Linked DNA regions of Caenorhabditis elegans. The protein of the gene in region 3 interacts with the protein of the main gene of each other region in a pairwise test. Each region holds a gene or a part of one and is shown on either strand. Other genes may lie near its edges. The genes, in order: cls-2, tol-1 and act-5.

Region 1 (9,115 bases), 4.6 Mb from region 3:
ATAAATTACGCGTTTCGAAGTATATAAAAAATCAATTTAATCTAAAAATTTTCCAGGATCATACGGCTCGTCAACTCGCTCAAGCAAATAACCATCACAATATTGTTGATATTTTTGATAGATGTCGTCCAGAACGAGAATATTCAATGGATCTTCACATCCAACATACCCATCAACCACAACCTTCAAGAAAAGTAACTCGAGCTCCGAAGAAACAGACAAGTCGAAGCAAAAAAGAGTCAGCTTCCAATTCTCGAGACTCAACTCATCTGACACCTCCACCATCGGATGGATCAACGTCAACACCGTCACCACAGCATTTTATGAATACCACTCATACTACACCGACGAGTTTGAACTATTTGAGCCCAGAATATCAAACTGAAGCTGGAAGCTCAGAAGCGGTTAGTTTTAAGCTTCAACTGAACAGACGGGAAACAATGTAATTTTGCAATTAAAAATACGGTACCCGGTCTCGACACGACAAAGTTTTGTTAAATAGAACGTGCGCCTTTTAAGAATACTGTAGTTCGAATCTTGTGTTTTTGCGGATTTTTAAGTCTTTCCAATCTAAATAAGTGTTATGGTTTAAAAGTCTGGACAACAATAAAATCACATAAATGTAACAAGGAAATTCCGCAGCAACAAATGTTTGAAATTACAGTAATCTTTAAAGGCGCACACCTTTTCGCATTCAATAGAAATTTGTCGTGCCAAGACCGTTTTACGCGTATGTGTAATATACAAAGTTCAAATATAACGTACATAAATTAAAATAACGTTACTTTCAGTTCCAACCACAATGTGGAGCATTTGGAAATGGCGAAATGTGGTATACAAGAGCTTCAACATCGTACACCCAAATGCAGAATGAACCAATGACGCGATACTCCGAACCAGCTCATTATTTTTGAATCTTCTGAACAATCGTCATTTATTATTTAAATTCCTTATTTTCTAGAGCTATACGGGTTTCCATCTAAATTTTGCATAAGACTTGATGTTCTTTTTTTTGTTGCATTTCTTGATTGTATATGGGCTTACGGGTTGAAATGTTTTGTTGAATGTTACATTAATAAAAATTAGTGAATAATTTTCCGAGTATTGGCTCCACGAACGACTGAAACGATGTATGGGAAGCAGAGATTCATTGGAAGCTTTAAGGAAGACAATAAATTATATCAAACTGGAATTTTTGATGATTGCAAAATGAGAAAAAATTGAATTAGCTTATTGTTTTCCATTTCCATTTACTGGTGGGTTGATAGCAGCTCTCTTGTTGAGATATGCCTTGATGTTTGGACGCTCAGCGAATCTCTCGTGGAACTTCTTGAGTGCTGGAACACCATCAAGAGCATTTGGTGTGAGAATCAAATGAATGTCGAGCTCCTCGAACAGCACATAATCCGCATAGCTTTCCTTGTCTCCAATAACGTAGTGCTCTCCGTTCTTGTAGGTATGGAAAAGCTTCTCCAGACGAGCGAGCTCTCCTGGAAGAACGTCCTTGATGTACGGAGCCTTGCCGTCTTCGTAGTTTCTGTAGATCATAGTGGTGTACTTGGTGTGCAAATCACGAAGTCCTTCGTAGAACATGTCGATGAAAGTTGTCTCTGTCTCGTTGGAGCCATTGAGCCCTGAAAATTGTTTTATAAGATACCGGAAGAAAACATTTAAATGGTTACCATTAAGACGAGCGAGATGACGGATGATAGCTCCAGATTGAACAATCTCCTCGTCTCCGGATAGAAGACATGGAACCTGGCCGAAGATCTGAAAAATAATCATTTAATAAAAATAAATAAAACTTTGAAAACAATAACTCACCATCTTTGGTTTAATATCAGCCCATTGTTCATAGGTTACACGATGATCCTCGTAGGCAACTTGCTTGTCCGCGAGAAGAAGACGGATTGGCTCAGCGAGTCCGTGGATGTCGAAGTACGTGAGCTTGAGGGTCATATTGAACGAAGTTGAGTGAATACTGACTGAAAACAAACACTTGAAATGTGGAAACTGGTTTTTTTTGTTTTCAAGAGAGAATTAAGAAAAGAAATCGAATGTGAGAAGTGGACAAATAGAACGGCTTTTATAGTTCGTGGAGGTACTAGGGGTGCTAGACGAAACAAGCAAGAGAGAGCACTGGAATGAAAGAGAAAGACAACGTGGCCAGCACGAAAATGATGACAAAAAGTTGTTAAGATGATTACAATTGTTCTGGATGACGTTGAAATGCCAGAGAAGTTTCTAGAAAATTAACAATAGTTTAGTCTTGGCGCCGGTAGCAGATCAGAAAAAACACTGAAACGAGATTACTGTCAACAAAACGTGATGGCTAATTGAATACCGAAAGTTTTTTACCTATTGTTCCAGATATATATTGGCCTGAACGAAAAAACGGTTTTCAACTTATACACAAGAAATAAATTTAAGAAATATTCATATAAAAAATAAATAAGAAAAGAAAATATATAAAAATAAAAATAAGAAATACGGGGGTCGAAAATCATAAGGGACATAAGTCGGGGGAAATTATGCTAAAAGGAGCATAGAGAAAGTGTGCAATACCCGCTCTTGACAAATAAAATTATATTACAAAGTGAAGGGATGAGAGAAAAGGGACGATAAGGTTTTACGGGGGAAATTTGGGATACGAATACGGGGGAATTATGGGCTACATTGCAACGACGAATCATACGTGCGAATGTGAACTGGACGACATTGCCCGATTGACGTAGACTTGGACAAGGTTCAGCTTTCCAGACGACAGATTTTGAAGATGTGGCTCCATTGTCTTCATTCCCAACTTGTTCACCATCGCGACCAGACAGTAGACAGCAGTTTTCCGAACTGCAGACGATGGGGAATCGTAAGACTGCAAAGTAAAAATTTCATTAATGAATTGCGATGTTTGATAAATAGTTACCTTGATCACACATGGCGCCAAATCATCAACCACTGGGCTCAATTCGTCGGCTTGGAGACCTTCAAACAATCTGGTCATCATTTTCAGAACCAAGCTTGCTTTGGGTTCTTGAGCTTTCTCCTGCAAATACTGACAAACAGATTACCTAAATGTAAAAATTCTTGAACTTACCTCATTCAAAATGAGCTGCGAGATGTTAACCACCTTAGCCAGTGGAAGGTGGGTTGCCAGCGTTTTCAAGCAGTCATCAGCGGTCACGTTCATCGTTCCGTCTTGTGAGTTGACAGCAGCATCCAAAACTTTACAGATGGCCATTTCCGTAGAGTCGAACAAGCGCGATGCTTGCGAAGTGCACATCTTTGTCAAAACGCGCAGAGCTACTTTCTTGTTGGCGTCTGATTCGCTTTTGGAGAGCACATCGAAGACAGCGATCAACAGCTTGGCGAAGTTTTGCTCCCAAAGAGTGAATGAGCCTTCACACAACATTGTCTGGATCGACAAAAGTCCTTCGTATTGCTGAGCTCCCATGTCACCAGAGATCTGGGCCAGCTTCGACGCCACGTACTTGCTCTGCTCCGACGTATCGTCAATAAGATGCGTTGTTGAGTTGAGCTGAAAAATAATTTGAAGAAAGAATAGGAGGATGAAACTGACGGTCATTATTGAGCCAAAATGTAGAAATGATTTTTAACGTCTACGAAAAATATACTTTGCTGAACTACGCGCCTTACGTGGCCACTGAAACGAAGAAAGAGGGGGGGGGGGGGGGGGGTTCGAAATCCTCTGACCACTTGTCATTTAAAACCATTTTCTTTTAAATATAATGCTGTTAAATACCTTTAATCGGTCGAATGACTCATTGAAGCTGAGTTCCTCGTCTCTGTGCTGTGAATTCATTTCCGAAGACAGAGGACGAAGTGGTTCCGCATCGACTCGTTTGAAACCCGACGAAATGGCTCTTGTGCTAGGCGATTTTACTGGAGTCATATCAAGATTCCTCGACACGACGAAATCTTCTATCTGCGCAGCTGTAGTAGAAATCGTGGCTCGCACACAGGCCTCTTCAGAAACAGCATCTTGTTGTGGAACGTGTTGATCATGTCCGTGAGACTGAAGAACTTTGTATGCCCAATCGCGATAGTCGGGGTTGAAGTCGTTGAAAAGTGCAGAGAAGTCGGCGTTGTTCAATGCGAAGAGTGAGCAGAGTACTTTCTCGCCATGCTGAAAAATGCATATTGCTAAAATAAAGAGAGAGCTATAATTACCGGGGTGATCAACTGTTCATTCCTCTGATCTGCCATCCACGAAAACATCTTGAGAATGGTGGCCTTCATCTCTTTAGTGTTGAACGACGATCCTCGCTCCATATACTTCCCAAGAAGTTCATTGAGATATTCAAGAAGGACCACGCGACTCTTCGGGGACATTAGATGAATTGGATCGCACACCAGCTCGCATGTTGATTTCAATTGCAGGGTTGGATCAAACGATGACAGAATACAGCTGATGGTTGTGGAAATTTGCTTCTTACTGTTCAACGTCATCTCTGCTCCTTTCTTTGCAAACAGCTTTCCAAGGCCAAGCTTGAGCCAATCACTGAGACGGGGATGATGGGTTTTGACAAACGAACTGATTGATTCCAGCACAATCTGAAATAAAATGTTGCAATAAAAATTATTAAATTAAAATGTTCTACCTGGTTCGTGGATTCTCCGAGCAATCTGTTAAGAACCGCGCCCAGGCTTTTGATTTCGGCGTTGCTGAGATTTGGCTCCGAAACAATGCCTGCAAGCATTTTAATTCCTTCTCGCTTCTCATTTGCAGAGGTCGACGAACAAGCACGAATCACTTCTTCCACTCTGGAAGTATCAAGTGCACTTTTTTGTGGTGTTGCCTTCTGTGGGGTTGGACGTTTTGGCAAGAGGAACTCATCATCATCGTTGCGTGATGGTTGCCTCAAGCTCTCCTTTGCCGTGTTCATTGCCTTCTGCAGTTTCGTAGCTTCCTCGGCTGACAGAGAAGAAACGAACGAGTTAGAACCAAGATTCGACTTGACTCGTTGCATTTCGGCTGGAAATGCCTCTGTGGCGGATGGACGGCGTGGCGGTGATCCATTTCGAGAACCAGGCTGAGACGTTGGGACACTTCCACGAGCACGAAGATTGGAAGAGGTACGAGAACCAAGCGCTCCAACTGTTGGTCTAGCAAACTTCGAACCTCCTGGAGAGGTGTCGATTTTTGAAAGTGTCCTAGTGGTCATCGGGCGAATGTTTGGAGTTCTGGACACAGATGTTGCCATTCGCGTCACCTGCTTTGTATCGATGGCAGAAGCACTTCTTTGAGCAAGAAACTCTGTAAACGAAATAATTGGATTGATATGTTGAACTTTAAACTCACTTGAAGAAATGTTCGGTGCATTTCTGATTCCACCAATACTGCCCGCAGACAATTTCGACCGAAATGGTGCAGTTCCGCGTTCACTATTGATGCTCGTGCTTGATGATGCAGCATCAGAGGCACGCAACATCTTTTGTTTCGATGAGTCGACTGAAGCAAATAGTTTGTCTGCCTCAGTGGAGTGTAGTGCATCGAGCTTGCTGAATGCTTTTCGTCCGGCAACTCTGGTCTCTGGATCAGCATCGCAAATTGCTGCCTTGATCAACTCGCCAATTTGTGGTAGAACTGTCCTCTTGATCTTTTCGTTCCAATGTTCGAGGACGATTTCCAGCAATGCGCACAGCTGTCTCCGTTGATTTTTATCCTTCGATGTGGAGTAGGAGGCAATGCAAGTGAAAATCTGTTTTGTTTGAATAAATTCAACAATAAACAGAGTTAACACCGCTCCACACGTTGCCATCACCTTTGTGCTTACAGCGACTTGGGCAAACGCTGATGGAAGACATCTCTCGGCAATTTGACGAACATCCGTCCCGAACCGTTTGAATAGGAATCCACAGGTGATCGCAGCTTCTCGCAGGATTTGCGATCGGAGATCTTTCACTGAGAGGTCCAGGCAGTCGGTAAGCCGGACAAGCTGGCTCAAAAGCTGCTCCCTTCCAATAACGTCTTCTCCGTGAACCACCATTGAGCGAATCTGTTTCAACTTATTCATTCGTTTGTTCCAGTCTTCCTGGCCTTTCGACAGAGTTTCAATTGTCTGGTCCAACTTTTCCTTGAAGTCTGAGGGCGACGAGATTTCCTGAAAAACAAATAAGTAAGACCAGACCATACGCGAGAACAAAACTTACCATTTTGGGCACTTCCTCGAACGACTTCAAAAAGTCGTCCTTGCTGACGATACATGTCCCACCCGGAGTCGATCGGCTGATGACACGGCTCATCTGGAAAATATAGATATTGTGAAAGAAAGCAAAAATGGAGAGAATGAGAAAATCCAACAGTTTACAAACACAGAACAAACATTCAGTATCGAGCGCAAATTGTGAAATAGCCCGGCAAGGATTTGTCATTACTAGAGCGCAATTGCATTAATTTCGAAAACGGTGAGGAGGGCACATTTTACTTGGATCATTTCGATAAATTCAAACAGACATTCAATCTTGAAAAATGATTCACACCAAAGACTCAAGGAAATCGTATTCGAAGAAAATAATGAATTCCAAAGCTGAGAAAGGAGAATATAAGAAAAAAGCGCGAAGAACGTTTCAATTTTCAATGAAAAAATTTTGCATATCCAAATGAAAATTCTAGAAATGATATTTAAAAATTTTTAGGCTAAAAATAGTGCTGACGAGAGAGTAGAGAGACGAGACATCAAAGTGTTAAAGGCACAGCCTCGGGTCTCGAGACGAAAACGCGTCCGGCGCCAGATTCAAACATTAAAGGATTAAAAAAAAACCGATTTTTTTCACCGATTTCGCTCGTTTCTTCTGTAAAATATATATCAGAAACGTTACAGGAAATATATTTACTAAAATAAATGTTTTTCTAAAATACACATGTGTATTGCTTCTGTCTGTAAAGTGCAACTCTGTCTGTTTGATATAAATTTTTGTGAATGCGCCAGAGTGCTGAGAAAATTATAACTGCGAATTTTAAATTACGAGATTCTTGAATGGCTTCTATTGTACGATTATTTCATAATCATGGTTGGTTTTTCTACAGGCAGAAAACAATCAATTCATTTCAGCTGTACTATCATATTCTTCACTTTCACTACCAAAAACTGATCGTTTTCGGAAAAAGTCGCCTATATTTTCCCATTCCGACAGAAACTTCTCGGCTGTCTCGGTTGAATAGCGCTTGCCGAGCGTTTAGCTGTCTGCGTCTCTAACCGTAGCGATGTGTCTCCTCCACGTGGTCGATTGGTTTGTTGCGCGAACCTTCTAGAACAATCCGCTCACTTCCCGAAGACCTCAATTCTCATACAAAAGAGTTTCCCGCCCCCGTAATCGAGGTTTCTCACCAAAATTTGCAATCATATCGACATTTTTGACACGTTAAACCTGTCCTTCATTGTTTCCGCGTTGTTGTGTGTTTATCTCCGTTTCAATTTTCAATTTTTTTAGTTGAAATTGCATTGCGTCTTTCTCTTCTGTTTCTCCTTTTCCATGTGTAAAGTCATATGCTTTATTTTTTTTTGCAGAAATGACACAACTCACCAACTTCAGCGAATCGTTCTCGAATCAAAATTCGAATCTTCACCAGCCCTACAACTTCAACTCACATCAGCCACCAGAAGAAAATCATTATTATGTACGAGAACCAAATGGAAAACGCCCGTTTCCCGTTGAATTTGAGTTGGTAAGTGACTCATCGTTAAATTTCGATTTTATCATACAATTTTTAACTAGATTTAAGAACTTTGAATAAAAAACTAGTCTGAGATGTTATGAACAATTAAAGCACGTGCAAAGCTTAGATTCATTCGAAAAAATCTTTCGACATCATAAACTAGGTGGGATGAAGCCATCACGTGTTGATTCATGAACTGCTACCCGATTTAGTTTGCATGGTTGAGTGTGGTCGAGACAGCTGGTGTTTCCAAAAGGCATAAACGAGTGCCTGTTCTTGAGAGAGTAGGGTTGTCGCCTTATTTTTCGGAGGTCTTTTGCAAGATTTTTACTTCCATTAAATATTGTTTCATTTTATTTCTTCGAAAGAAATCATATACCGTAATTGCGATATTTAAGTTCCAAGGCACGCGCTGTTATGTTTTGAGTGGGTCTCGCCACGATCTCAGTCACAGTAGTCTCTATGAGCTTCAAATGTCTCATATTTGTTTATTTAAGAGAGAAACTCGAGTTAAATATTTTTAATATTCTTAATTATACCGAGAAGATTAGAATTTAGGGTACAATTTTCAGCATTTAACTTATTTTCGATATTATTTTGCTAAGCAACTGTTTTCTACACGTTATTAGTTCATTCAGTTGCAAATTCTTCAACAGTTCTTTCTCCGTCTATCGTTATCAAATATTTGCGCTTCCCTCCATCACATTTTCCCTCATTTCTCGTTAAATTAGTCGTTCCTTTCGTTTTCCGTTCTTCGTTTTCCGTTCTTACCAGATCATCAGTCATTCATTAGTTTCCTCACAATTGTTTCCATGAAAAATTGTCGTCTAATGTAACGTCGCCTGTGCGGTTCACTGAATCTCTGCACCCTCTCGCGCTTGCGTGTTCACTGGCGCCCGGGTGTGTCTCGCATCAGCCAACCCGCCGTGTGCCTTGTCGCTCGTTCCCTCGCGCTTCTAAGCAGATTACCTATTTTCTTTCCACCTCTAACAAGTCAGAACATTGGTCAATTGTTCTGAATTTAACACATTCTGTACTTGAGATAAAATTAAATTCTGTCGTGCAAACAAATGATATTCTCTGCAAGTTTTTCATTCTAAATTTTTCAATTTTAGGACATGGAATATGTTCCGAGAACGAAGAGAAGGTTCGATAAAATAAGCGCCTGCCTGGAAAACTTCTCAATTTCAAATGACAAACCGTCGCCAATCAATATGTACGTTTCAGCCTTGTTTTTGACAAATAATGTTCGATTATAAGTTGCAGGGAATCATCGTCCGACGAAGAAATGGATGAAGTTTACGACGATTCAAACTTTGACCAATGCACTGAATCAACTTCTATTCCATTGGTGGTTGAGCCAGATGATGAGCCGGCAGTAGCCAAAAAGATTCGATTGGATGAATCTATTCAACGATACTTTGAAAAGTGCCGCCA
Region 2 (7,998 bases), on a different chromosome or scaffold from region 3:
CGTTAATTTCGGATTTTTTTCTCCTATATTTATTGTTAATTTTTCGGAATTTATCGTAAAGTTGACGAAAAATCCAATAATTTTATTTAAAAAAAAATTTTTTTCGTAAAGTTGTTTTGGACAAAAAAATATATAGGTTTAAATAAATTGTCATATTATTTTCATCAAAATCTACATATTTTTTGATGAAAACTTAGTTTTCTCGTTAAAAAAATCGAAAAATTGCTTTCTTTGTACTAATTTGAATTTCAATAGCATTGAGGAATATTTAAACATTAAAAATGTTTGCTATGTTTATATTACGGGAACAATAAATCATGAGAATGCGTACGTAGAGCATTTTATTTGACGCGCGATATCTCTTAGCGAAAACTACAGTAAGAACTCAAATAACTATTGCTATTTAAGTATATCGTTTTCTATTTATTTCCTCCCTATGCTTATATTTCATCCATTTCGACACCTAAAATATCTCAAATCCCCAATCTTTGAACTATCTCTCTCCAGTTGATACGTTACATCCTAATACTCTCTTCAAAATGAGAACACCACTCGGATATTGCCATACACCGAAAGACATTGGCGGCGGCGGCGGCGGGGATCCCTTTACACATACACTGTTTCATGTACCACCCTCCTAATTAGTAGTCACGAGAAGAGCAGCTAATGAGCTCTCATATTTATTAATTCCTCTTGTCTTTGAGAGAGTGTCAGTGTTCTATCTCTATTCATTTTATGAAGGATGAGCTCACTCACACACACACAACTGTTTACAACTGGCTTATCCGAAAATGAATTGAATTTGATGAATTATGAAGCATATTGAGAAGCGGAGATTCACTAGAGTGACGTGGAATTTAATATTCCATTCAAAATCACGGCCCGGCAAGTGGTACATCCATGCAAATGCGCTCTACTGATAATTTGAGTGTAGATCAGGTTTGGGCGCGTGATAACGAAACAAGCTATGGTCCAAAAAATTTTAGAATTTATGTTCTGACCTTTTTTATATGCCCCACAAAAAGGCTGGACCAACTGTTTTCGAGATAGACGAGCCTGAACGTTCAGGTATACGGTAGACAAATTGCGTACGCGTACGGCTTGTCGGGCTGTGAAAATCAAGGAGTTCGTATCGTATCATGACCGAAATTTTCAAAACTTGCGAAAATTTTCCGCTACCTATTTTCCAAATTTGTCCATTTTCACATTCTTGAGTCAGCAGGTCTCGAAACGATATCTGACGGATTACAATTGCCACGTAACAATAATTATTGCTATCATATTTCCTCGACCCATCTGCAACACCCAGTTAGAATTTCAAATAAATTCTGGGATTTGCCGCAAACCGTAATTAGCGGAGTATTGTTGCCGTGAGGTGACTCTTGTTGACAGTGACTGCTATTCCTGGATCATAGAGGTGCCGTAGAGCGAATAATATCACGCATCATTTAGCCTAATGAGCCACAGCCAGCCGTCTTTGGAACCTTCAATCTCTTCCCGATAGTCAAGGTAACAAGGTCCCCATCTATTCATATGTAAAGTGTGGGGTTCAATTCTTCTATAAACATAGATATATGTATATCCATCATCATTTTGAAGAGAGGAACGTCGTTTGATGCGGAGGGAGAAAACAACAACCCCATAAAGTATCTGACGGAGCAGCAGCAAACGATGACAACGCGACATCATAATAGGAGGCATTATTATTATTATTAGCGGCATTATTGAATGCGCCAAAACATGCCAGGAACCATGGTTTCTTGAAAATGCTTGCAAAGCATTTGTAACTGTGGAGTTTCTCGGGCGAATGGACTAACGATACTTGAAAAATTACAGTGCGACGTGGAGATTCGATAAACGGGAGAAACGATTCGTGGAATAGTATACGAAAATTTGAAAAATTTCTGGTTTTCTCAATGTTCGATTTTTTCCGACAAAAACCCATGAGCCTAAAAAATCCCTGTTTTACGACTATACAGCCTGGACTATATGGCATCCATGTTGATCAGGCACGTATTCAGGCGTAGGTGCCTATTTTCAACGTTATGGCAGAAACTTCAGTGTTGTAGATTCTACAATGTAGAATTCTGATTTCGAAAGAGTTTGGCTGTGAGCATGTGAGTAGGCATAAGGCAGGCATAGGCTCTTGTGGGGCACGTAGACTATGTGCACACTTCAAGACTCCATGATCACTAAAAAATCGCTCCCTTGAGATGGAAACTTCACATTTTCGCTATTCTCTTTCAGGGAGGTTCTTCATCATCATCATAATTAGGCCTTTATTGCTTCTGGCTGACAACAACTTCCGGCGCTTGTGATATTTGACCTCCTCCTTCCGCGCGCATTCTTCACAATTTCCAAACTCTCAATCCTCCTCCCTCCATCGATGTCCTTTTGTTCTCATTTTCAATTGCCCCGCCGCCAGGAATACCAGATGGTTGAACGTCAGAAAGTGGAAAGAAAGAAGAAGTAGTAAGCTTTAAAGCCCCCCCCCCCCCACGTACTAATAAACAACTAATTCCTTCTCTGTGAGATGTGGTGGTAATTGAATGTAGAGAACAAGATGGGAATGCATACTGCGCAACACATTTGACGCGCAAAATATCTCGTAGCGAAAACTACAGTAATTCTTTAGATGGCTACTGTAGTGTCGATTTACGGACTCAATTTTTGAAATAAATTTTTGTTTTCGCAGTAGTTTCCCATTTATTTCTAATTTTGATATTCTATCAATCGATCCCGTAAATCGACACAAGCGCTACAGTAGTCATTTGAAGAGTAGTTTTCGCTGCGAGGTATTTTGCGCGTCAAATATATTGCGCAGTACGCATAAAAATAGAAAATAGGTATACATTTTTACAGTAAAATGCACTACAAAAGTCTTGATTTTTGGCGAATTTCGTTCAAAAATGCAGATTTTAACGCGTTTTCACCAAATTTTTACCCAAAAAATATCTGGATTTTTCATACTGAAATTGCTTTAAAAATCGTTCAAAATTGAGATTTTTAAGCTAAAAATTCTTGCATTCTTTTTATTTTACAAATCTAGTTTTTCGGCAAATTTCGTGAAAAATTTGAGTTTTCGGCTGCTGTTCTTTTTGGCGAATTATCAATTACCCAAAAATATACCTGTAAATGCGGCAGAGAGCACAAAAGTCGCTGTGGAAGCTCGATATTCCGTGATCTCGTGAGGGAAAACTTTTCGAGACGAGCCAACGGCATTAGGACGTCTTCGGTCATTTCGAAAGAGGTTGAGGCGGTGGAGATCTGTGAAAAAATGTCGATTTTTACTTAATTTTAAGCCGTTTTGAGAGGCTTTTTAATGAAAAATTCTACTATTTAGGACATTTCTGAGCCAATTTCAGCAAAATTTTCTAGATTTTCCAAGAAAAATGTACCTGATCGAGTTCCAATCTTCTCAAAGCGGCCAAATCTTCGAACAATTTCACAGAGAAATGTGTGGTCTCGCATCCCTGCAAAAAAACTTGTTAAAATAGCTATTTTTAGCTTTAAAATCTCCATTTTTATGCAATTTTTGAGCCTTTTTCCCGGAGATTTCCCGTACCTTAAAGGGTGGTGAAATTTCGGTTATTCTGTACATTTTTCAGCACAAAAATGGCTTTAAAAAATTCAAATTTCAGATTTCTTCCACCGTGTGCAAAACCACAAATCTACTCGAAAACCACTTTATACATCTGTTGAGGTGGTGCTCTTGGAGCACCCCCTGCTGCTGCTGCTTCTGGCCCTTCTATACTCAAGTATTGAATATTACATGGCTAATCGGCTTAACCTCTTCACGCCTAACACATGTTCTTCTACGAGTTCCTGGGGAAAATGGAAAAACAGGGGACTTTTTTAGGCTAAAAATAGGGTGATTTAGGCCAAAATTAGGGAGTTTTAGGCCGAAAAATTGGGATTTTTTAAGGCCAAAAATTGGGATTTTTCCGTTTATGACACCTAAAATTGGATTTAAATTCTGTTTACTCGGGTAGGAAGTTAAAAATTGCAATTTTCAATTATTCTACAAAATTATCTATATATCTATGCACCATGTTTTTTAACACATTTTTTATTAAACAATATTTATCTGAAATAAATGAAATTTTCGGATAAATCAAGTGATTTTCAATGTTTTTACAATAACGTTTAATGCAAAAAAAAATGTTGGAATAATTAACAATTGCAATTTTAGATTTCTATCCGAAAAAAAAATTTCACCCCAATTTTAGGTGTCATAAACGGAAAAATTAAATTTTTTGGCCTTAAAAACCACTGTTTTGGCCGAAAATTTTTTTTTTTTGCTTTAAAATCCCTACTTTTGACCTAAAAAATCTCTATTTTTGGCCTTAAAATCCCTACTTTTGACCTAAAAAAATCAATTGTAGGACATAAAAATCCCCTTAATCCTCCTCTCTCGCAGTCCTCCAAGCACACCGGAGGTCATCTGTGGCCGTACAAATGACAAAATGACGTAACATTTGTGCCTAATTAGAGACATCCGAGTGGGGGGCTCTTCTTAAGAATTTGGTGTCGAGAGGAGGATGAATAGAAGACAGGCACACCTTTCTTTTTTGATGGTTAAGGTAATTAGTGATACGGTTATTTGCTCAAAGAGTCAAAAAATGGGAAAAAATTACTGTTAGCCTTCCTCAGATATAGAAGAATTTTAATTTTTTGAATGAACTTTTCGTAATTTTTTCTTGTTAAATTTTCGATAGAAAAGTTCATTTTTTGAATATTTTCCGATATTTTTAAAATTAAAATGGACATATTTATGAATTTTTAAAAATTTTTTTTGGAAAATTTAAAAATTAAAAATTAAAATTTTCGTTTGTTTTTCTGGAAAACTACAGAAAAAAATCGCCAACGAATTTTTTTTGTAATTTACCGGTTTTCTCGAAGAAAATTAAATTTTTTTGAAGTATTCCAAAAATCGAATTTTTGATTGAATTTTTTGAACATTTTTGAACACGTGAAAATCTACTTCAAATTGAGATTTAGGCCAATTTTTCCAATTTTTCCGAAAATTGACCTCTAAATTTACACGCAAAAAGCAGATGTTCTGTAGAGAACAGCTGATAATATAATAAACTCACCACTATCCGCAGATGATGCAACGCGGTTAACGACTTGAAGTAGGCATCCGGAAATTGGAAATTATTATTATCACAAGATATGAATAGTGATCTGGAAAAAGAAAATAAGTTATTGGTAAATTAAATTTTTCATAGAAAATTGGGAAAAAATCTAGTTTTTTGTTGTAAAATAGTTTTTTTTTGGAATAAAACACATTTTTAATTCAAAATTATGGGAAAATTCAACTGAAATTTTGCTGTAAAAAAAAATTGAGAATAAGGAGGAAATTTGATTTTTTCTAATTTAAAATTTCGAAGTTTTAATTATTTTAATACATTTACCGTGTAGAATAAATGAAAATTTTATTTTAAGTTTAAATTGTTTTAAAAATTCAATTTTAATGCATTTTTCGTGTAAAAAATACTAAATTTGTCAATTTTCAAGGAATTTTGTGAGCTTTTTACTGTTAGAAATTGAAAAATTATGTTTTTCGGAAAAAAAAATCCAATTTTAATGTTTTAGTGTAAAAAAAAACTTTTTTTTTTGTTTTCAGAAAATTTCGAACTCGAAAATCCAAATTTTCTATGCATTTTTAACATTTTTTCGATAAAAACCACCATTTTCTTGGAAATTTTTTCGTATTTTCCGATATCTTGATTTAAAAATCACATTTTTTCCCATTTTTAAAAATTTCTCAAATTTTTCATTCAAAAATCAAAAAACCTCACCGAATATTAGCAACCTGATCATAATTCGACGACGCAATAGGTGTAATTGTCGTGTTTTTCGAAGAATAGTCGCATAATAGGAGTTTAGACGTCGGCTGCACCGGATCCGGAGCACATTTACAGCTGAAAAATGGAGTTTGAATTATTTTTCTCTGAAAAATTCGGGATTTTAGCAAAAAAAAGCAGTTTTAAGTGAAAATTCAGGCAAAACCCCCGCTTTTTCACAGTAAATTCGAAAAAAATCTGATTTTTAAGCGAAAAACTCACAATTTCGGGCATTCGTCACCGTTAGCAGCGGCCGACCGACATATATTAATTACTAATAATAAAAATAGGAATAACTTCATTTTTCTCCTCATTTTCGTTGTGTCATGTGATCTGGAAATGAAAAAAAAATTTAATTTAGCATTTTTTAAGCCAAACTAAATGAGTAAATTATGAGAAATTGTAAGGGAAAAAAAATTAACGGGATTTTTTTTTGGAGGAGATAAATAAATAGTAAAAGATAAAAAGTACGAGCGCGCGCGCTCGCGGAAATGAGTCAGAGCAGGTGAAAACTTGCAGGAAATTGGGATTTTTAGCGGTGGCGGCGGGGAAAGTAGTCCAAAAATTGTATAAAAATCGGAAATTTACATTTAACTTGGATTTTTCAGTAAATTTCCTCTAAAACTACACAAAAAATCGTGAAAAATCAGTCAGAGATGATAAAAAAATTCATTGATAAAAATTATAATAATTCAAGTGCGCTCCATCGAACATTGAAATCTTGGAGGGAATTCAAATTGGAATTTTATGCAATTTGAGACTTTCCCATGGGATTTGCAATTAAAAAAGAAAATCTTATACAAAAAATATAGGAAATTTAAAAAAAAATTGTTTACTATTAAAGCAATTTCCCCACTGGCGCTAGTTTTGCCGCATCGAATCGAAGAATTGACAACAATCAAGGAGTGAGAAATGGAATAAATGAAAACCGTTTGGCAGCAGCAAACCGGGTATTCTCTGTATGACAAGTATGCGGAATATCATTATAATGGAATGGATCAGGTGGTGGTGGTTGTTGTAGAGGGGGAGGAGGAGACGGGTGAATGGTCAGTTGGGTGTCTAGGGGGTGGACAACACCCTGAACAACACGGAGACACCCGGGAGGGCAGAAGGGGGCGGGGTTTTGAAGTGTTTAGGAAGATGTTGGCTCGGACCGGGTGCTGCCGAAAAATTAAAAAAAGGGATTTTCGAATTGAAAAGTAACAAGACATCAGCTTTTTTACGTGGCCTAGAAACATTAAAAAATCGGCCACTGTCAGATCTTTCTAGAATTTGCTGACGATCGACTTGAAAGGGGGTTCTATAGTTCCTCAGAGCAGAAATGTTTCTAACTCACTTTATGAGGGTGGCAGAGTTAACTCTAGAGTTTTCATTATGCATATATCTACGATTTGGCGAGTTCTACGTCCAGGCTATCCCATTACGGTTTGATCTACAAAAAATGCGGGAATTTTTTTCCAGAACAATTGTGACGTCAGCACACTCTTAACCATGCGAAATCAGTTGAGATGTCTGCGTCTCAACTCCCGCATTTTTCGTAGATCAAAGCGAAATGGGACTTTCTGACTCCGCGTGTCCAGAACTAATAAATAGATTTCAAAATTATTTTTTGAGTTTTTCTTTCGAAAATCTTGAACTCGATAATTGCCGAATTATCGAATTGCCGAACTTCGACTTCGATTGTCGCCCAGTCGTGCTTCAAACCATAGTGAAAGCTTTTCGCGACGAGACCCAAGAAACCAAATAAACCGTTCCACTTACGACAGATATAAATCTTCAGAAATTTTTCAAATATGCCTACAATTTGAATGGGAAAACTTCAAATTTTTCGCAATCATACAGCTTCACATTTTAACGATAAAACTTGACATCAAGGTTATTGCCAAGACATGCCCGCGGTAGCCAATATATTATATTAGCAATGGTCCGGAAGCGATTGTTATCACTATTGCGTGATTAACAAGACAAAATGCGAATTAGCACACGGGCGAGGGCAACCACTTGTGGTGGTGCCGTTTGACACACACACAAACCACCGACACGTCGGAAGTAGCCGTTTTGATGTGTGTGTGGGGACCGGACGACAACAAGACGAAGAAAACGACGATGATGACAAGACGACGAAGCGATTATCGGAAGTGTGGTGTCA
Region 3 (7,139 bases):
TCGTTCATGATTTCGGCGCATGCTTGACGATGACTGGTTGCTGAAAATACTTCTTAAAGGAGCACCATTTTTGCACCATTTTTGGAGTAGGTCTCGCCGCGACAGATTTAACAGTAATAGAACTATTAAACTGTTAAACGAATATGAATTTTGAAAATTCTTTAAAAAAAACTTCATATAGGCGCAAATGCCTACGTGTTCCATGAAGTTTTTATTGCATTAAGTCAGCAAAGCAACTAGAAGGCGCATAGGCAGGCAGGCATCTAAATGCCTGTTTATTTTATTTCCTAACCTGTTGGCTGCATTTGATGGTCCAGCGTGTCACACATCACCAGCTTATTCCCACCGCCCAAAAACGGATCCGGATAGGCAGCGACTGGACGCAAATAACGATCCGAGTCACGTCCCTTTGCCTGCCCCGTCGAGCTTCCATCATAATTCCAGATGGGATAGTCCTCAATTCTCTTCGGAAGTTTATCAAAGGTTCGCGTTTTCGAACGGAGATTTTCCCCAGTTCCATCGATCCACACGTAGGTCGCCTGGATCTTTGTCGGATGAGGACGAAGTCCCAAGAATTGATCAATGACGGCTGTTCCAAGAGGCATGCGAGTTTCAAAGTTCAAGTGAGTCATTTTTACCTAAAACTTTATTTCATGTCTGGAAAATCTGTGTAGAAACTTACGGTTATTAGAATTTGCAATCGAGAGTTGTTCGTCGAGTAGAGCCAAGCTCGTAATAAATTGAGTTTGACCACCCACGCGAAAAAAATATTTTAACTATTGAGGAAATCTGTAGGCCGGCACGTTTAAACTTTTTGGAATGTTTTTTTATACAAACTTACAACAAATGAACCGTAACCGTCTGACTAGAATTGTGAATTTTGAAAAAAAAAAGTCGGAAGAAATGTATTTACGTGTAAGAAAAAAATTGACAAAAAATTTAATCGAATTCTATAAGAAGAGTTTTCAGTTTAATAATCGGCTCCTAATTTTTTTCGTACTTTTTTCCGATTATTTAAATGTTCACTATTTTTTTTTCTCCGGAGAAAAGCAGGTAACATTGCGTGCAATTTGAAAAATATGTAGTGTGAACGCGCTCAACATTTTAAAATTAATTCATCCTTTTTCCTGCGAGAAATCACTATGTACCTATCGAAAGCTTGTTGCTGGCTGCTACTCGAAAATTTTTGTAATTTCGGAAAAATTTGCATCTGGATATTTAGTGCAATAGAATTTAGAATTGGGCACAATTTATGGATATTTATAATTCCCGCCGATATTGCATGTATCTACTCATTTTTGACTCATTTTTCAGAAAGGTGGTTTCTTGTAGTTAGAGACAACTTTATTTGAAGAATTGCATGCTCTCTATAGCAAAAAGAACCGATTTTCCATAAGAAATCAAAATGGATGTTGCAAACTATCAAAAATGTTTTACAGTAAAACTATAAGACCGTACGATCATTTTTTCTCAAGAGTCATTTTTCAGTTCACTTTTTAAAATTTCTTTTTCCCAGTTATTGCAACAAGATAAAAATTATGGAAGTTGTCAAAAAAGTATCAAGAAAGCTCTGTATCACCGAAAAAAACGGGAACCGGATGGTACCGGAGTTGCCGAACGGCAGATCCGGTTTAGGTTAACTTATTTGTTTGTTTTTTTTTCTTAATTTCTAAGTAAAATCAATTTGGTACTTGTGCATTATTTCCCCTCATTTTAATATTATCCATTTTAATAAAACGTGATGTCCATTTTCCATCTTTAGGCTTAGAAATGATTATTTCCTAAGCCTAAAAAACAAAAACTCCACACGTTTTTATTTAAAATTATATTTTAAAAAATGAGGGGAAATAATACACAAGTACCATCAATTTTACTCAATTCCCAAGTAGCAAGTGGTCCTAACAAGTTTATTCATGTTAAGAAACCATAAATATAAAGAAAATGAAGTATCTCATGGAATTTGTGTCAAGTAAAATCGTGTTTCGCCTAGAAATGGAAGGCACATGTTGAAAAAAAAAATTTGAAAAAAAATCAGCTTAGAAGCACTTTCGGTGAACAATCGATGGGCCGGACTCGTCGTACTCCTGCTTGGAGATCCACATTTGCTGGAAGGTTGAGAGGGAAGCAAGAATAGATCCTCCGATCCAGACGGAGTACTTGCGCTCTGGTGGAGCAATAATCTTGATCTTCATTGTGCTGAAAATACAAGAATTATAATCTCATGTACTGAGAAATGTGAAGCTTACCTTGGAGCCAAATGTTGAATCTCCTTTTGCATACGATCAGCGATTCCTGGGAACATGGAGGTACCTCCGGAGAGAACAGTGTTGGCGTAGAGATCCTTTCTGATGTCGACATCGCACTTCATGATGGATTGGTAGGTGGTCTCGTGGATTCCGGCACCTTCCATTCCGATGAAGGCAGGCTGGAAGAGGACTTCTGGGCAGCGGAATCTCTCGTTTCCGATGGTGATAACCTGTCCGTCGGGAAGCTCGTAGCTCTTCTCGAGGGAGGAGGAGGAGGCGGCGGCGGCGAGCTCGGACTCGAAGTCGTGGGCGACGTAGCAAAGCTTCTCTTTGATGTCCCGGACGATTTCGCGTTCGGCGGTGGTGGTAAAAGTGTAACCGCGCTCGGTGAGGATCTTCATCATGTAGTCGGTCAAGTCGCGTCCGGCAAGATCGAGACGTTGGATGGCATGTGGGAGGGCATATCCCTGGAAGATTAGAAGATAAGATCGGATGTAGGTTCTAGATTTCTTAGATCCCAAAGAATTCTCACAAGAAGATTGTGGATCAGATAAGAAGATCAGAAGCTCAGGCTATGATTTGCAGAGAAATGAGGTGGCCTTGCTCTTACTAAGTTCTTACAGTTCCAAAAACTTAAAACTAAGGATAAGAGCTGCTGAGCTGAACTAAAAGTTTCCGAAAGCGCTGTGAGCCTGTTTCTGGCTGCAAAAATTAGTCGAAGCAGACGTAATCTCCAAAACTTTACACCGCCAAGTCAAAGAAGATTGCTGTCTTCTTATATTCTCTAAACCCATCTACCTACTTCATAGATTGGAACGGTGTGAGTGACACCATCTCCGGTGTCCAAAACGATTCCGGTGGTTCTTCCGGAAGCGTACAAGGAAAGCACAGCCTGAATGTTGACGTACATGGCTGGAGTGTTGAAGGTCTCAAACATGATCTGTGTCATCTTTTCTCTGTTGCTCTTTGGGTTCAATGGAGCCTCGGTAAGGAGAACTGGGTGTTCCTCTGGGGCGATACGAAGCTCGTTGTAGAATGTGTGATGCCAGATTTTCTCCATATCATCCCAGTTGGTGACGATTCCGTGCTCGATTGGGTACTTCAAGGTGAGGATTCCTCTCTTGGATTGTGCTTCATCTCCGACATACGAGTCCTTCTGTCCCATACCGACCATCACTCCCTGATGACGTGGGCGTCCGACGATGGACGGGAAGACGGCGCGTGGAGCATCGTCTCCGGCGAATCCGGCCTTGCACATTCCGGATCCATTGTCGACAACGAGGGCGGCGATTTCTTCTTCCATCTGAAATTAATAAAAGGTTGAAGAAGTCGAGTTTATAGAAAACGTTATTAAGTGATGTACGAGTACTATAAAATGCCGAAAAATGAAAATGTTGCCACATTTCCCCAAAAATGCAAAGTGTGTTATCAGTACCGCAGCCAGCTCACCATCGGGGGGAAAACGAGAAAAAGAGAGAATGGAGAGAATATGCCACATTCTGTATGTATATATGTGTGTGCGTTTGATACTGATAACTCCCTCTCTCACTTCGTTCTAAGAATTGCAGGTACGTGGTGGTTATATGTACACACTCACACACACACACACACACAAATTATCACGTCACACAGACAAAGTCATAGTTTGGTGAGCATGATGTAAGCAGCCTGTCAGAATTTGTGCTCAATTCTAGAACATGAAATTGTCAATTGACATGATATGCACTGGGAGGCTGTTAGCTATGGCCGATTTTATAAAATTGCTCAAATCAGTATAACAAATATGGAATAAACCTACGAAATTTTTGAAAATGCAGGCCAACAGGCTTACATCCGGGCTCCCCGAACTTTCCAGTAGCTCAAGCCGGCTGGTCCACTAACAAAGCATTTCAAAAAAATGTTATACATTGTCAGTTGACAACTTTACATGACCTCCTAAGATAAAAAACCCCCAAGAGATAAAAATCAACTACCGCCAGTCACTGGAGCGCTAGGAATGTAAAACTAGAAAAAATAAAGTGATAACATTCCAATTGACTCCAACTTTTAAATACTCCCTAAAATTGAAGTTTCCGCCTACCATTCCTCTTAAAGAAGCCATACTGGGAAAATGAGTCACTGATAAGTAATGAGTCAATGCTAGTTAGAAATACAATAGAAATTTAGGATCATAAACTATATTTTTTTAATGTTAGGGTGCAGCTAATCTTGAAAGTGCCGAAGATTCAAAGTTTCATTACATTACCCTTTCCGTATAATCCCAAAATACCCGTAAAAGTTACTACTACCCTATTCTGCTTATCACTGATAACAAAGAGGAAAGATGAGAAATCGGTCGAAGTGTGGAAGAAATTAATAGTTTAATTATTATTTTGAAAAAAGCAATTAGAAATGGAATAATTGAGATATCGACAATCTGAAAAACGTGAAAATAGCAGCCGGCAGCTTCCTGGGAATGTATGTAACATGGCAACAAAAAGGAAAAGAAAAAAGTTGTAAACTAAATAACAAAATTTATGTAGATTCATGTGTTGGATAGTATATTTTAACTTTTCGGCTGTAGAGGCTTATAGGTGGTTAAACTATATGTTTGTGCATTTACTATAAATCTTCTAACTACATTATAACATCATTACATGATAATCTAAATTACTGAAAAATCTTCATTACCAAGAAATAACTGTCAGTTGAACAAAAAAAAGATAATCTAAAAACTGTTTTGGCAATATTCTAATATGTATCACTTGTCGGACGAGGTATCGGAGTTCAATGTTTTGTTCCAGGTAGCACTATTCAAACTACAGTAACTCTACACTAGTTAAAAATAACAAAAGTTGTCAACTGGTAACACTTTTCATTTCTTAAACGTTTTTAGTTTTCAAAGAAAAGTTACATTTTTGTGCCCCACTGACCGAAAATGTACTTGCATCAACGAATTGTTTTTGTGAAATTTTCAAAACTTCTCATTACGAAATTTGGTAGTTTTGGGTCACTTCGGATCTAAAAAAAGCAAAGTCTCAGATTTCGGTACTCCATCTTTAAATCTTATAATCATACTTGCTTTATGTTTGCAATAGATTTATAATGTTTTTCCAATTTCTTTCCTCAATTATGCAAATCCATAAACTCCCGCCTCTGCACACCTCCAAAACGCTCCAAAACAGTCTCCCCCACTCTTCTATTTTTCTGTTTCTCTTGCACCCTCTCACTCTCTATTTATGCCCGTTCTTATCATTTTCAAGCTTCTTCTCATTCCAGGAAACCTCACCCCCGATTCCTCTTAAAATTGGAAACTCTTATCATCATTGATGACGGAGCAAGTTCATGTTGGCATTGATATTGGCACAACTTCGGCTAAAATTTGTGCAAGGAATGGGGAAAAGTGAGAAAATTCAATATAATCACAAAATTAATAAAAATAAAATTGCCTGCACATTATCAGTTGGCAAGTTTTGAAAAACAAAATTAAAATACAAAAGTGATTAATTGTTTTATTCCTTTGATTGGATCAAAACTATCTCAAAAAACCTATTACCAAAATGTGAAATGTAAATTTTTTCTGAATAGAATAATTGTACAACACTGGCAAAATCTGAAAAGTCATCAAAAAAAGTTTCAAGTCAAATAAATAGGTAATTATTTTGAATACGTTCTTTGGAATATTTCAATTTTTCAAAAACCATCAAACCATAGTGCCATCAAAAACTGAGTGTGTAAATTTTAGTACGCTGATTTTGTAAATAGATAAAACACTTTATATTTTTAGCGTAATCCTAGAATTCAAAAAAATCTACGAAGGTGACAATTCTGATGCAGCTGGACTTCAAAATCCGAAGATTATAATTCAAACTGTTTTGGATTTGTTGGAAGTTTGTAACCGCCTAAAAAACTGGACAAATTTTTTTTTTGCAGAGAACAAAATCTAATTTAGAATCGCGAAATCTGAAAATATCCAATATATGGACGTGTGGACAAATGCATGGAATTGTCATGTGGAAGCAACGACAGAATGAAATTGATTTAGGTATACAAAATGGGAGTTTTTGTTGCAAAAATTTTTGTATCTTAAAAACAATAATAATGTTTTCTCATTCAAAATAATGCAATTTCCAGAGACCCTAACCATCTCACCATTGTACAATTGGACATACAGTTCTACGGAGCTCCCAGCGTTTCTAAAAACTATTCCTAAATGGGAATGTGGAGATTTGCATCCAGGGTTTGGTCTTGTTACGCTGGCGTTTTTGAACTACAGTAATCCGGAATTTTTAACGGTCAGAAATTAACGCATTGAATCTAGAAAACTAAAAAGTGGTCGGGGTCAAAAAAAATCATTATTATCGGCGAACGGCATTCGCTGTTTGCCGTTTGCCGCCCGCACAGCCCTGGCTCATACCCCTATAACTCGGACAAAATTTATGACTTTTTTCAGAATTTTATACATTGTGGAACCATAATGGACCTATTCATCTCTATTTTGACACAAAACCCGGACCCCCTCATCTCTCACCACAACGCTCACAGCTGGGGTTACTGTACTGAAAACGCTACGTGGCAGTCAGAAATTTTAGATTTTCTCCCTAAAACTCTGAAACTACCTGACATAAATTCTTCCTCTGAAGTTTCGGGGACTTGGCACGGTGCCAAGTGCCACGTGGCATCAGGAGATTTGCAAGCTTCCGTGGCATCGCTGGATTATTATGAAAATACCGCTTGTGGGTCTTTTTTCAGAATAGTTTTATTTTTATTTTAGCAGATTTTTAATTTTAGATGTAATCCTCGGCACATCTGCTCAACTATGTTGCCTTATTCAAACTTCGGAAAAAAATGCTACAGTAATCCCGGCTACCGTAGTCCGGCTGCCATTCTCCACGTCGAAAACTCTGGTGGCCG

What was found.
Region 1: the proteins of act-5 (region 3) and cls-2 interact in a two-hybrid assay, tested with the Caenorhabditis elegans proteins (one large-scale study listed by BioGRID).
Region 2: the proteins of act-5 (region 3) and tol-1 interact in a two-hybrid assay, tested with the Caenorhabditis elegans proteins (one large-scale study listed by BioGRID).

The regions. Positions count from the first base shown.
Region 1 is NC_003281.10:9,052,201-9,061,315, reverse strand, and holds cls-2 (TOG domain-containing protein), read right to left. Parts: upstream 6,269-9,115; 5' UTR 6,265-6,268; coding exon 6,172-6,264; intron 6,123-6,171; coding exon 5,321-6,122; intron 5,276-5,320; coding exon 4,620-5,275; intron 4,573-4,619; coding exon 4,189-4,572; intron 4,145-4,188; coding exon 3,761-4,144; intron 3,536-3,760; coding exon 3,095-3,535; intron 3,053-3,094; coding exon 2,924-3,052; intron 2,873-2,923; coding exon 2,690-2,872; 3' UTR 2,421-2,689; downstream 1-2,420. Other genes in the region: lin-12 (lin-12/Notch intracellular domain), read left to right, coding at 57-404, 792-914; gst-1 (Glutathione S-transferase P), read right to left, coding at 1,231-1,634, 1,683-1,770, 1,825-1,959; R107.5 (uncharacterized protein), read left to right, coding at 7,532-7,687, 8,794-8,894, 8,939-9,115. UniProt on the Caenorhabditis elegans protein: Probable microtubule plus-end tracking protein that promotes the stabilization of dynamic microtubules. Required for the formation of mitotic and meiotic spindles. Specifically promotes the polymerization of kinetochore-bound microtubules.
Region 2 is NC_003279.8:442,183-450,180, reverse strand, and holds the start of tol-1 (TIR domain-containing protein), read right to left. Parts: upstream 6,179-7,998; 5' UTR 6,164-6,178; coding exon 6,072-6,163; intron 5,928-6,071; coding exon 5,805-5,927; intron 5,188-5,804; coding exon 5,097-5,187; intron 3,474-5,096; coding exon 3,399-3,473; intron 3,268-3,398; coding exon 3,130-3,267; intron 1-3,129.
Region 3 is NC_003281.10:13,602,518-13,609,656, forward strand, and holds act-5 (Actin), read right to left. Parts: upstream 3,550-7,139; coding exon 3,049-3,549; intron 2,714-3,048; coding exon 2,247-2,713; intron 2,197-2,246; coding exon 2,037-2,196; 3' UTR 1,895-2,036; downstream 1-1,894. Other genes in the region: shpk-1 (Carbohydrate kinase FGGY N-terminal domain-containing protein), read left to right, coding at 5,555-5,628, 6,013-6,115, 6,159-6,270, 6,360-6,520, 6,679-6,961, 7,017-7,139.